Linked DNA regions of Oryctolagus cuniculus. The protein of the gene in region 3 interacts with the protein of the main gene of each other region in a pairwise test. Links are inferred from orthologs where the notes say so. Each region holds a gene or a part of one and is shown on either strand. Other genes may lie near its edges.

The links.
Region 1: the proteins of AKAP7 (region 3) and SPA17 interact in a two-hybrid assay, tested with the Homo sapiens proteins (3 studies listed by BioGRID and IntAct). The two-hybrid records come from large-scale screens. The link is inferred for Oryctolagus cuniculus from reciprocal best matches to the Homo sapiens genes AKAP7 and SPA17.
Region 2: the proteins of AKAP7 (region 3) and CEP76 interact in a two-hybrid assay, tested with the Homo sapiens proteins (3 studies listed by BioGRID). The two-hybrid records come from large-scale screens. The link is inferred for Oryctolagus cuniculus from reciprocal best matches to the Homo sapiens genes AKAP7 and CEP76.

The regions. Positions count from the first base shown.
Region 1 is NC_091432.1:117,919,450-117,923,451, reverse strand, and holds the start of SPA17 (sperm surface protein Sp17), read right to left. Parts: upstream 2,801-4,002; 5' UTR 2,672-2,800; intron 515-2,671; 5' UTR 483-514; coding exon 329-482; intron 1-328. Other genes in the region: SIAE (sialate O-acetylesterase), read left to right, coding at 2,933-2,999. UniProt on the Homo sapiens protein: Sperm surface zona pellucida binding protein. Helps to bind spermatozoa to the zona pellucida with high affinity. Might function in binding zona pellucida and carbohydrates.
Region 2 is NC_091441.1:69,558,229-69,562,368, reverse strand, and holds the start of CEP76 (centrosomal protein of 76 kDa), read left to right. Parts: upstream 1-1,340; 5' UTR 1,341-1,428; coding exon 1,429-1,650; intron 1,651-1,930; coding exon 1,931-2,006; intron 2,007-2,582; coding exon 2,583-2,837; intron 2,838-4,140. UniProt on the Homo sapiens protein: Centrosomal protein involved in regulation of centriole duplication. Required to limit centriole duplication to once per cell cycle by preventing centriole reduplication.
Region 3 is NC_091436.1:37,950,845-37,954,937, forward strand, and holds the start of AKAP7 (A-kinase anchoring protein 7), read right to left. Parts: upstream 2,801-4,093; 5' UTR 1-2,800. UniProt on the Homo sapiens protein: Probably targets cAMP-dependent protein kinase (PKA) to the cellular membrane or cytoskeletal structures.

The DNA of each region.
Region 1 (4,002 bases), on a different chromosome or scaffold from region 3:
TGCAAAGCAGAGAGCAAGATGCTATGATCTTTTGTGGTTCCCTTCCACCCTGTGAGTCCACAAGACATACAGTGAAGGTCTTGGCAGTAAACTGATGACGTTCAAATTACATGGAACTCATTCAAGGGGCACACAATTAGTTCAAAGAGCAAGCTTCAAATTATTTGAAGCTACCTGCCTCCTAATAGCTCTCTGTAGAATGGAGATGACATTAAGCAAATTTTACCATAACCAAATGCTGAGTCTCTTATTTAAAAATGCCTATTGATTGCTTCTCGGCCTTTTGGCTAAATTCAAGTGTAAAAATGCCTATTGGATAATAGCTTACTCTCTCTTTTCTCTAGAAGGTTCTCAAAATATGCTGCTGCAAAAGCTGGAATGTTGTCCGGTTGCTCCCTCAGAATCTCACGTGTCAGCCCTTCAAGAAGATTCCCAAATCCTTGTGGAATTCGATAGTGGGTGTTGGAAAATGGAATCGACATCTCCTTGGCAAGAACTTGCCTATGTGGTACCTAGAGATTAGAGAGCACTTTCAATGTGTCTGATTTTAACTATGTAATCACAACCATGACAATGATTTCTGAAACCCAGAATTTCTGGACTTCCGTTCTTTTATCCCAACACAACCCAAGTCATCCATCTCTTACAAAGAACCCTCTGTTCTGTATTATGATTTAGAATATTACAAACCCAATTAGCCAAATTATTTTGAAAAATACAGATTTTCACTGTGACACTAAGCATGTTTTCTATCCTGTGGGGGAGGCCTAGAGGAAACTTCCTGAGCCTGCCTCGAATTTGAAATCCTGTCTTTAAGTTTCAAATCCCTGGTGGCAAACACCCTAGCCCCAGGGCGCTTTTGCCTAAGGATCATTAAGGTGGTATAATAGGAGTGGCTAAGACTCTTTTGCATCACATCACCCCACCCCTTGCCCATATCCACTCATCTACTCTGTGCCATCCGCTCTGTACCTCAGCTATTAAATACACCTCCCTTTTACAATAAAGTGAGACCCTGCTTCGACTGGGCTCCACACCGTGCCTGATTGTCCCCCGGGTTTGGGGAAGGCTGAGTGGCGGGTGGCGCACTTCCCCTCCTCGGTCAAGGCAAGCTGCGGGTAGCCTGCCTAATTCTCCAGTCGTGGCGAGGAACAGTCACCGCACTATCCCTCTTTTTCTGTTCTTCTTCTTCTTCTTTTTTTTTTTTAAGATTTTATTTCTTTTAAGAGGCAGAGTTACAAAGAGAGTCAGAGACAGAGAGAAAGTCTTCCATCTGCTGGCTCATTCCCCCAAGGCCAGAGCTGGATCTGAAGCCAGGAGCCTCTTCCGGGTCCCCCATGAGGGGTGCGGGGCCCAAGCACTTGGGTCATCCTCCACTGCTTTCCCAGGCCATAGCAGAGAGCTGGATTGGAGGAGGAGCAGCCAGGACTAGAACTGGCGCCCATATTGGGATGCCAGCACCTTAGGCGGGGATTAACCTACAGTGCCACAGCACAGGCCCTCTCTTTCTCTTCTTAAAACGGTAATTTATGCTATTCCACAGCCATTTAGAGAGAACCATTGTTAAATGAATGTTGAACTCATTATCAGTTGCTAAGAAGACCCAGTTTAGGCTCTTAAAAAAAAACTGTGGTGCACTAGGTTAATCCTCCACCAGCAGTGCTGGCATCCCGTATGGGTGCCGGTTCTAGTCCTGGCTGCTCCACTTCCAATCCAGTTCTCTGCTATGGCCTGGGATAGCACTGGAGGATGGCCCAAGTGCTTGGGGCCCTGCACCCGCATGGGAGACGGGGAAGAAGCTCCTGGGTCCTGGCTCCAGATCAGCACAGCTCTGGCCGTTGCGGCCAACTGGGGAGTGAACCAGTGGTTGGAAGACCTCTCTCTCTGTCTCTCTCGCTGTCTGTAACTCCACCCATCAAATAAAAAAAATAATAAAAAAAATAAATTAGGAACGAGTCCTGATTCTATTTAATTCTAACTTGTCTAACTGGAAGCCTCACACTTCAACTTTCCCTCCGCTGACTCATCTAAAGCCTGATCCACACGGCCTCCGAGTACCTTTACCTTTGAACTCTGGAATGAGGAAGCCGGGGTGGGGAGGGGAATGAGATGGTAGGTCATGATTTTCAAACCCCAGTCCCTAAACCTCTGAGATTGTTTTCCTAGTTTTGTCGTGACCCGTGTTGCAATTCAAGGGCTACACTAGGGGCAGGTGCCAAGCAGTGGGGTAGGCCACCGGTATGAGGGGCGCACGCGGGACCTGCCGGGTGTGTCAAGGCCGGAAAACGGCGGGCCCGTGGCGAGGGGCTGAGACTGGGAAACTGGACGATTTAACGAGGCCCACCCGCGGAGGGCTTTCTCTTTTTCTTGTCTTTTCTTTTTTTTTTAAACGCAACAGAAGTGCGGAATCTTTCTGGGGCTGTACAAGGCCGGGTGAGACCCCGAGGAAGCGCTGGGGAGTGGGAGGCCCGCCGGACAGCCGTTGGGGCAGGGTCTTGAGGCCCTGGATTTCAGACCCTCGCAGAACAGGCTGCCTTCGCTCCCAAGCTGTTTGCTCCAGGGTTTCCGGGACGAATCGGGGATAGTGGAAGAATACGGCAGACGAAGGGAAAAGGCGAGGCCTCGGCACTGCAGAGGAAGTGGGGGAAACCGCCTCACCTCTTCTTTCTCTCCGAGCTGATACCCAGGATTCCGGTTGTTTTTTCTCGTTGCTGGGTAACCGTTTTTTTTTTAAAAGGGAAAAAAAAAAAAAAACTACGGCGGCCGGGACGGGAAGCGGCAGGCTTTTCGCCGCCGCCAGAGGGACGGTCCTGGGAGGGGTGGAGTCGGCAGGCCGCGCCCCGCCCGGGCCACGCCCTCTGCCCACGTGGCTCCTCCCCCAGCTTGGGCGCCCTTTCTGAGTCCCGCGTGTTGGCGGCGGTTCGTCGCAAACATGGTCTCGCCTGGATCAGTCCTTGCGCTGGTGCTGTCAGTAATCCTGTGGGCCGACAGAAGTGCAGGTGAGGCGGTCCGGCGAGGCCGCACCGCTGCCCCTCAGCCTGCGCGGGCTCCCAGCCGCCGCGTCTGCTGCGGGTTCCGGTCCGCGTCGCCCCTTTCAAGGTCGGAGAAGGAACCCCAGCTCCGAGCCGGCGGTGCCGACCCAGGCCTGGCCCGCAGCAGCCTGCCGGCCCCGAGCCTCAGCCCGACTGCTTTCTCTCCTCCCTTCCTCTCGCCCAGGCTGCTGGTGGGGCCCGAGAGTCGAGTTTCTTTGAGCGGGGGAGGTCCAGATGTGCCCAGGGTCTTCGAGTGCCTGCAGTGCCTGCAGCCGGAGCTCAGGGAAGGGGGCGAAGCCACTTAGATACTATTTGGAAACAGGTGTCTGAGTCATCCGAAACGTTTCAGCAGCTGCCCCCTCAGTGGAGCCCTTGGGGAGGGTTTGCTTCAGGCTGGATTCCTTGGGGAAATCAAGTTTTACTAGTTTAAGTGGTTATTAGGGCTAAGAAATACAGCCCCCTCGCTAGCTCAGAGTATTTCAGGCTCAGCTTTGATTTCGGGTGCAGCTTAGATACAGGTGGAGGGAAAAGAATGCCTGGAAGTGGCCAGGAGGGTCACTCAACAATGGCTCTTGTGCAGGTCAGAACCTATCGTTTAAATGCCCTAGACTGGACACTGACTGGGTCAGGGTGGAGAAACCAGTAGGTGAAATGTGTGTGCTAATGCAAAGTCCGATCTTAAGGAGGGATCTTTTTTGGATAACACCCCCCCCCCCCCTTTGCCTGCCAAAGATCTCTGTAAGGAAATTAAGGTTGAAGTGGGAGAGAGCAGTTGCAGAAACATGGCTACTGTTCCACCTAAGAACTGGAAAGCTACCTTGAATCAGGTGGACTGCAGCCCATAAATGTTTTCTCAGAGTTTAACGGAAGTGCAAACTAGTAGCATTGTCTTCTTGCCAGGGACCTTTGATCTGGGAGAAGGTATAGAGGAGGGTAGAGCCATGGTTTTATGAAGGCTCTGTCGAAGGCT
Region 2 (4,140 bases), on a different chromosome or scaffold from region 3:
GGGCTCTGGCTTGGGCCATCCCGGGCGCCAGCGCGGAGCGCGGGGCAGCTAAAGCTTCGGGTTTGAAGCCAGAGCAGCCTGGTAGCGGCGGTGAAAGGGAAGAAGGCGAGAGGGAGTGCTCATGAGACTGGGAGGCGATGGGACCGTTTGGGTGGTAGGGGGCAGCCGAGCGGTCTTCCAAAGTCACGTCGGATGTACTTTCAGAGCCGAGGTGGCTTTAGGGCGAGACGTGGGCTTCCTCGATCCGAGAGCCAGCAGCTCCAGCCAGCACAGCCCAGTAACGGAGGGGACGTGGCGGAAGGACTTGGTAGGGGCGCAGTCGCCTCAGGCCGGGGCTTTTGCGGCCCTCGCCGAGGGCGACGCGTGAAGTAACAGAAGTCGCGGTGCGTGCGCGCCGCACTGGCCGCCGGTCAGGGCGTCCGGGGTCTTGTCCGGGAGGACGGAGGACCCCAGCGCCTGAAGACGTTAGCTCCGACCTGCACAGCTGCTGCGATCCGCCTGTTCCTGCGATTCCATCCAGCATTCCCTATGGAAAGACTGATTTGGTTTGAGCGGGATTCCGGGGGGGGGAAGCGGTCACAAAAGTGGGCAGGCGGTAGACGTCATTTCTAGCCTTTGTCTCCCAGAGTTGCATCTCGTGGAAGCTGGCGGTGATTCTCACTCAGCTGTGGTAATGATGGCCCGTTCGCGGCTAGCTCTAGAGCCCTGACTCGAGGAGTAATGGCGTTGTCGTGCGGGTTTTGTGCGCAGATGGATGTCCACGGCAGGATACGGGAAATCCTCGCCGAGACCATACGCGAGGAGTTAGCGCCCGACCAGCAACAGTTATCAACGGAAGATTTGATCAAAGCCCTTCGACGGCGAGGAATCATTGATGATGTGATGAAAGAACTGAATTTTGTTACGGTGAGTACTCTGGGGTCTGTAAAGAACATGCCTGGGCGTAGTTACACTGTTGACAGGGTCCTTGGTGGGAGTTTCTCCTTTGAGCGAAACCACTGGAAGGCCCTCCTGTCTACCAGTGTCCTTATTTGCCTTGTAAGTTAGCTCTACCCTTGGGTAGCACACAAATAGTGTGAGTCAGCGAGATTTGGGTTATGTAGACTGTCTTCCTCACTCTGCAGTGACAAGGATTCTCTCTTGTAATTCTCTAGGTCTTTTAATTATGAATATACATATTTCAGTCACATTAGTTCACCATAAAACTGTTCTTTTTTCACTAAGATTGCCCTACAGTTGCTTTAGGTTAAGCTTATTTTTAAAATAAACACTCTTTGGGACTCCGATGAACAAATTATAAATGTCCTCAAGAAAATAATTGACTGCACAAAGACTCTCCAGTCTTTACCTACAAATAGGTCAGTAGTGAGATGCTGGCCTCTCAAGGCACCATTAGGAAGTAGGCCCTCTTTTGAAAATGAGGCAATAATGAAAAACTGTGACCTCAATACCTGGATAATATGTGAAAATTGGACAGACTTCATAATACATCAGGGAATAAGTATTTTAATACAGCATCCTTTTTTGGTTTTTGAGGTTTATGAACCCATTTGTTATAAAAATTGGCCTAATAACAGCTTTTGCTGTGTGAATGTCACTTCTTTATTAAAATCAGTAACTGTTGGAATTGTAAGCCAAGTGTTACATCAGGTATAGGGAAAGTTCAAGCTTGTTTAAGGTTTTCAGAATTGCTTTTTACATTCTGTGGATGGCATTCCTTGAAGATAATTTTTACACCTTAGTATTAGACATGAATAGTGACCAGTTGCATTATCTTTCATTTTCAGTATTTTGATTACACTATGAAAAGGGCTTTTTTGGGGGGTGGGAAGAGGGCCCTTATCCTGTCACCTTTCTGTTTGCTGTTTAGTGTCATGATTGGCATTTTCTTAATTTTTTTTTTTTCAATTTTTTTTTTTGGCCTTTCCAGGACAATGTTGATCAAGAACTCCCTTCCTCTCCAAAACAACCTGTTAGTTTTGATAGACAGTCAACATTAAAAAAAAGTATGTATCTGTTTTTTAATAATAATTCTGTTGTATAATGAATATTGATGTGCTGTAGTGTTTGGTATTTGATAGAAAACATTTCTGGTTTTTTCCCCAAATATTTAAATTTTTGTGGTTGGCCTAAAACTTAATTTTGTTTCACATGAAGTATATCAGAAAATTTAATGTGCAGTATAGTAGAAGCAAAAGCCAGCACACTGGTTTCTCATATTTTAATAATATACTTTATTTAAGATTGTACAGCCTTGTTATTTTAATGATAATTACCTTACAAATACATTTGCTTAATTTGTAGTTGCCTGAGCTGGTTTATGGAGGTGAAGGGAGATTTAATAAGCAGCTAATAAAAAGCAAACTATAGTAGACTTTGGGCCACTCTAGCTGGGAGAAAGTGGACAGAATGTAAACTCCGAAAAGAATGTCAGATTATGTATCTTTTCTCCCCAGGGTGCAAATGATTCTGGTATATAGTAAATTTGTTACTCTTTTTCTTCTTTTTTTAGTCTTTGATGTTATTTCTTTCAAGTTGTTGTATCCTAATGTCTTGATCACATTCCTTAAATTATTTGGCAGTTTCCTCATGTATATTGCTACACTTTACAGCTAATATTGATCCAACACGGAGGTATCTTTACCTTCAGGTTTTGGGTGGAAAAGCTTTCTTGGAACATCTTCAAGAACCTGAGCCTTTACCAGGACAAGTTTGTTCAACTTTTACTTTATGCTTACATTATCGAAACCAACGTTTTCGTTCTAAACCTGTTCCATGTGCCTGTGAACCTGATTTTCATGATGGCTTTTTACTTGAAGTACACAGAGAAAACTTAGGTAAGGAACGTAATAGTCACTTAATGGAGTGAGCTTTTATTAGGTTTTGTTGCAGAGTTGCTGTAACAACTTCTGCTGTTGGGAGATTTACAGATTGAGTCATTTGGCCTAGTCTTTTTATTTTTCCGCCACTCTTATTTTAACGACTTCTGTGCACCTTCTGCTTTATTCTGTGTTTGCTAATTAATTATCCCTAAACGATTATTACTTTACTCTTAATTTTGGTTCTTTACTAATAATCCTGTGAGATGCCTGTCATGTGCATGGTACTATGCTAGCAGGTGCTGAGGACATGAGAGAATGAGACATGATCCTTCTTGTATATGAAGGATGACTAGATTTGTGATGTTGTTATATTTCAAAGGTTTTTGTTTGTTTTATTTTGTTTTAAATTTTACTGGAGAGTTAGAAAGAAAGCCATAATAGTAAAGAGCTCCCATCTGCTAGCGGGTTTACTTCCCAAATACCTGAAATGGAGCGGGGGCGTTGATGTGGCTACAGCCAAGAGCTGGGAACCCATCTAACATGAGTGGCAGGAACCCAACTTTTCCTTTCTTTCTTTTTTTAAATTTATTTATTTACTTGAAAGTCAGAGTTACACAGAGAGAGGAGAGGCAGAGAGAGAAAGAGAGAGAGAGAGGTCTTCCATTTGCTGGTTCACTGCCCAGTTGGCCACAAAGGCTGGAGTTGTTCCAATCTGAAGCCAGGAGCCAGGAGCTTCCTCCAGGTCTCCCACGCGGGCACAGGGGCCCAAAGACTTGGGCCATCTTCTACTGCTTTCCCAGGCCATAGCAGAGAGCTGGATCGGAAGTGGAGCAGCCGGGACTCAAACTGGTGCCCTTAGGGGACGCTGGCACTGCAGCTTGGCCTGGACCAGCCCTGGCTATTGCAGGCATTTGGGGCAGGAAACCAGAGGATGGAAGATTCTCTCCCCTTCTCCCTTTCTTTCTCTTTCTCTCTCTCTTTAAAAGTACTTATTTAAAATATATGTTACTACAAAAAAAAGCCATCAAATATGTTAAGATTAATTCTTAAACTGTCCTTATTCATTTATCTTTAGAAATTATCACTGTATTATCAACACAAAACTGAAAGATTTAAGCTCACAGTTTAGCAATTCACCCCATAAATTACCTTTTTTAAAAAATACCTTGTTAGAAACACAGTGTAAAACAATTACAAGAATCATATATTATAATTCTTTTTTATTTGAAAGGCAGAGAGAGAGAAAGAGAAAGAAAGGGAGAGGGGGAGAGAATCTTCCATCCTCTGGTTTCCTGCCCCAAATGCCTGCAATAGCCAG
Region 3 (4,093 bases):
GGATCTTACAGACCAAAGCTGGGGTTGAGGGGTGCGTGTCCAGCTCTTGTGCCAGTGTCGTTGATCTGCCCTGCTGATACTGTGTTCTTTTGGGAATTTTGATGATGGCCAAGTGGCCTCCAGTCAGTCAGGTGATAGATAATTCTTGCTCAGGGCCTGGGCTACTTGGAAAAACAACCCCAGGCAATACTGAACATTGAAACACTCCATCTATAGAAGAGATAAATGAGCTCAGGAGTCTTGTGACCAGAGACCCTTTAGGGCTGGCTGCACCACTCCCTCTTTTGAGTCAGTTAATTTTAGCAAGGGGTTGATTTGCAAGCAAAAGCAGTGCAGGGAAAGTCAAGCTAAGGGAGAGAAACCCAGAGACTTGGGGCAGTAGGAGGTGGTAGTATCCAGCGTCTGCCTTAAAGGTACTGTATAGGTTTCAAAAGTTTTAAATCTAGGTACTCTAACATTACCCTAACAAGTTGAGCATTTCCTTTCCAAAGCTGTTGCATTTATGATCTGGTAGAGAAGTACAGTGGGTTTCCATATATTTATTCAGTGCCTGAGCTCTATGCTAGGAGGGTGTGGGTAAGATAGATGTGTTTGTTAAGGAGCTGATCACCTAATTGTGGAGGGAAAACAGCATGTGTAAATGCAACAAGTGATTTTTTAAAACCTGGAAAAGTAATCCACATAGATACTGAAGAGAAACAGGGACAGGAGCTATGGAATAGTAGGCTAAGCTTCCACCTGCAGGGCCAGCATCCCAAGTGGGCACCTGTTTGTGTCCCAGCTGTCCCCCTTTCAATCCAGCTCTCTATTAATGGCCTGGGAAAGCAATGGAAGATGGCCCAAGTGCTCAGGCCTCTGCACCCATCTGGGAGACCCAGAAGAAGCTCCAGGCTCCTGGCTTTGGATTGGCCCAGCTCCAGCCATTGCAGCCATGTGGGGAGTGAGTCAGTGGATGGAAGACCCTTCTGTCTCTCCCTCTCTCTGTAACACTACCTCTCAAACAAATAAATAAAATTAAAAAAAAAAAAAAAGAAAAAGGATTGAAGAGAAACAGAGAATGCCTTCCAAAGCATGCCATTTTGGCATTAGGATTATTTTGAGCTGAAGGCAGTTGAGGAACCTATCACACAGAAACACCCCCCCCCCCCCGCCTTTCTGCCTAAAAGCAAGGCATAAATTTCCTTTTGTAAAGGTGACATGTTTCCATTTTTAAAGATGTGCTTCTCTACCATATCAGAAAAGAGAACTCTTACTGCGTAACAAACCTTAATAAACAAACCTTATTTACCACACAATTCCTAGTCACCTTCCCCTGGAAACCCAAACCTCTATTATTTTTGATTAAAAAAAAAATGTTTGTTTGTTTGAAAAGCAGTTACAGAGAGAAGGTAAGACACAGAGAGCAGGCTCTTGGCCCTGGTCTCCGAGATAGATGGCAGGAGCCCATGTTCTTAGGCCATCATCCTCTGCCTTCCCAGGCACATTAGCAGGAAGCCAGATTAGAAGCAGAGCAACCAGTGCTTGAACCCAGCTTTGCAAGCTGTGGCTTAACCCACTATGCCACAACACAGACTTTGTAAAGCCCAGGACTCACTGCCTGTTGGTTTTTCACTTCTGTCAAGTTCTCATGTGCATGTGTAATAAAGTTTTTCTTCTGCTGATTAACTATCTTTTGCCAGCTTTAATCCATGTACCTCAGCTACTGAACTAAGGGGAAAGGGATTTCTCCTTTCCTCCAGTGTGTACCAAGATAACTGTGAAATTTTCATTCTCAACCTGAGCACAGGTGGCAGCCCAGAGGCCACCTATTGTCTACCACCGGTATTAGGAATATAGTCTTAGTCAACAGCTCTCATGTGGAGGAACGTTTGAACTGCCTAATATCTGAAGAAGAGGGTGTTCACAGAGCTTCTTTGAGAAACAACTGGAGTAGAAGAAATAAAAGGTGAACTGTGGGCATCTACTGTGCCAAAAGCAAAGACAAATGATGACCATCAAAAAGACAGGAACTAGGGGTAGGCCTTGTGGCACAGAGGGTTAAGTCACTTCTTGGGGACCATATCCCATATCGGAGTCCCTGAGATCGAGTCCCATCTCTGCGTTTCAACCAAGCATGCCTGCTGCTAATACACCTGGGAGGCAGTAGATGATAGCTTGAGTAGTTGGGCCCCTGCCACTCATGTGGGCAAACTGATGGAGTTCCTGGCCCAACCCTAGCTATTGCAAGCATTTGGGGAATGAACCAGTGGATAGGATCTCTTTCTACCCACCCCCCAACCTTGTCACTCTTTCAAATAAATAACATGAGACAATAACATTTATTTAAAAATAAACATTTAAAAATAAACACAGGAACTGGGTTGAAACAGCTTTCCTTGAGCAAATAAGAAACAATTTGTTATCAAAAAGAGAACAGCAGCTGTAATTACTATAACACATTGAATACATAAAATCCATGAATCCGCTGGCGCTGCGGCTCAACAGGCTAATCCTCCGCCTTGCGGCGCCAGCACACCGGGTTCTAGTCCCGGTCGGGGCGCCAGATTCTGTCCCGGTTGCCCCTCTTCCAGGCCAGCTCTCTGCTATGGCCAGGGAGTGCGGTGGAGGATGGCCCAAGTATTGGGCCCTGCACCCCATGGGAGACCATTAGAAGCACCTGGCTCCTGCCATCGGATCAGTGCGGTGTGCCGGCCAAGCGCACTGGCCGCGGCGGCCATTGGAGGGTGAACCAACGGCAAAGGAAGACCTTTCTCTCTGTCTCTCTCTCTCACTGTCCACTCTGCCTGTCAAAAAAAAAAAAAAAAAAAAATCCATGAATCCATGATACTCCAAAAATGGGAAACAAAAACGAAGGGGTCTCCTTCACAGGTGACAGTGATACTGCTCCTTTGTCTCCTTACTCTGAGAATTAGTAATTAAAAGGGGAAACTATATTTGCCATCACTTTTTAGGAGAAACAATAGTGGGAGAAATTTTTTATAGAACATCCAATAATAAATATAGAAGACTTGAAAGTATTAGAAAATTACCATTTTGCCACCAGAAGTGATAACTGATTCTTGTGAGAATCTTTAATATTTGCCAGAAAATTATATGAGAGGTTAATGGGGAACAAGATATTTCTAGGCCAACACCACGGCTCAATGGGCTAATCCTCCGCCTGCGGCGCCGGCACACGGAATTCTAGTCCTGGTCGGGGCAACGGATTCTGTTGAATCTGTTGAATCCGGTTGCCCCTCTTCCAGGCCAGCTCTCTGCTGTGGCCCGGGAGGGCAGTGGAGGATGGCCCAAGTACTTAGTCCCTGCACCCCATGAGAGACCAGGAGAAGCAACCTGGCTCCTGCCTTCGGATCAGCACAGTGCGCCGGCCAAGCGCACTGGCCGCGGCGGCCATTGGAGGGTGAACCAACTGCAAAGGAAGACCTTTCTCTCTGTCTCTCTCTCTCACTGTCCACTCTGCCTGTCCAAAAAAAAAAAAAAAAAGATATTTCTAAGTTGTCAAAATCTGAGCCCACAAAGCACTTGCTAGTTGCTGAAGAGAGAACAAATTTAGTTGTCGGCACCCTTTCATGTGTCATCAAGCTTAATATCCAAAGGCTATGGCATTACCTGCAAAATGAGCCGAAGCTATCAAGGCTTTAAACCTAACTTCCAGTTTACCAGCAACACAGAGGCAAGAGGAGCAAGTGAAATGACACAAGGAAAGAACCAGATGAACCCATAGTGAGGGATATTGTTAATGATGATTGCCTCGGGCTTTTCAAAAAGTCAGTGGGAGGGTCTGGCATTAGGTGGAGTGGTTAAGTCGCAGCTTGGGTCACCTATATCCTGTATCAGAGTGCCTGGTTCCAGTTCTAGCTTCGCTGCTTCCTATCCAGCTTCCTGATAATGTGTACCGGAGAGGCAGCAAATGACTCACATACTGGGGTCTCTGCTATCCATGTGGGAAACCCACATTGGTTTCTGGGCTCCTGGCTTTGGCTTAGCCCAGCCCTAGCTGTTGCAGGCATTTAAGGAATGAACCAGCAGGTAGATCTTTGTCTTTCTGTCTCTCTATTTCTCTGTGTCTCTCAGCCTTTTGACTGAAATAAAA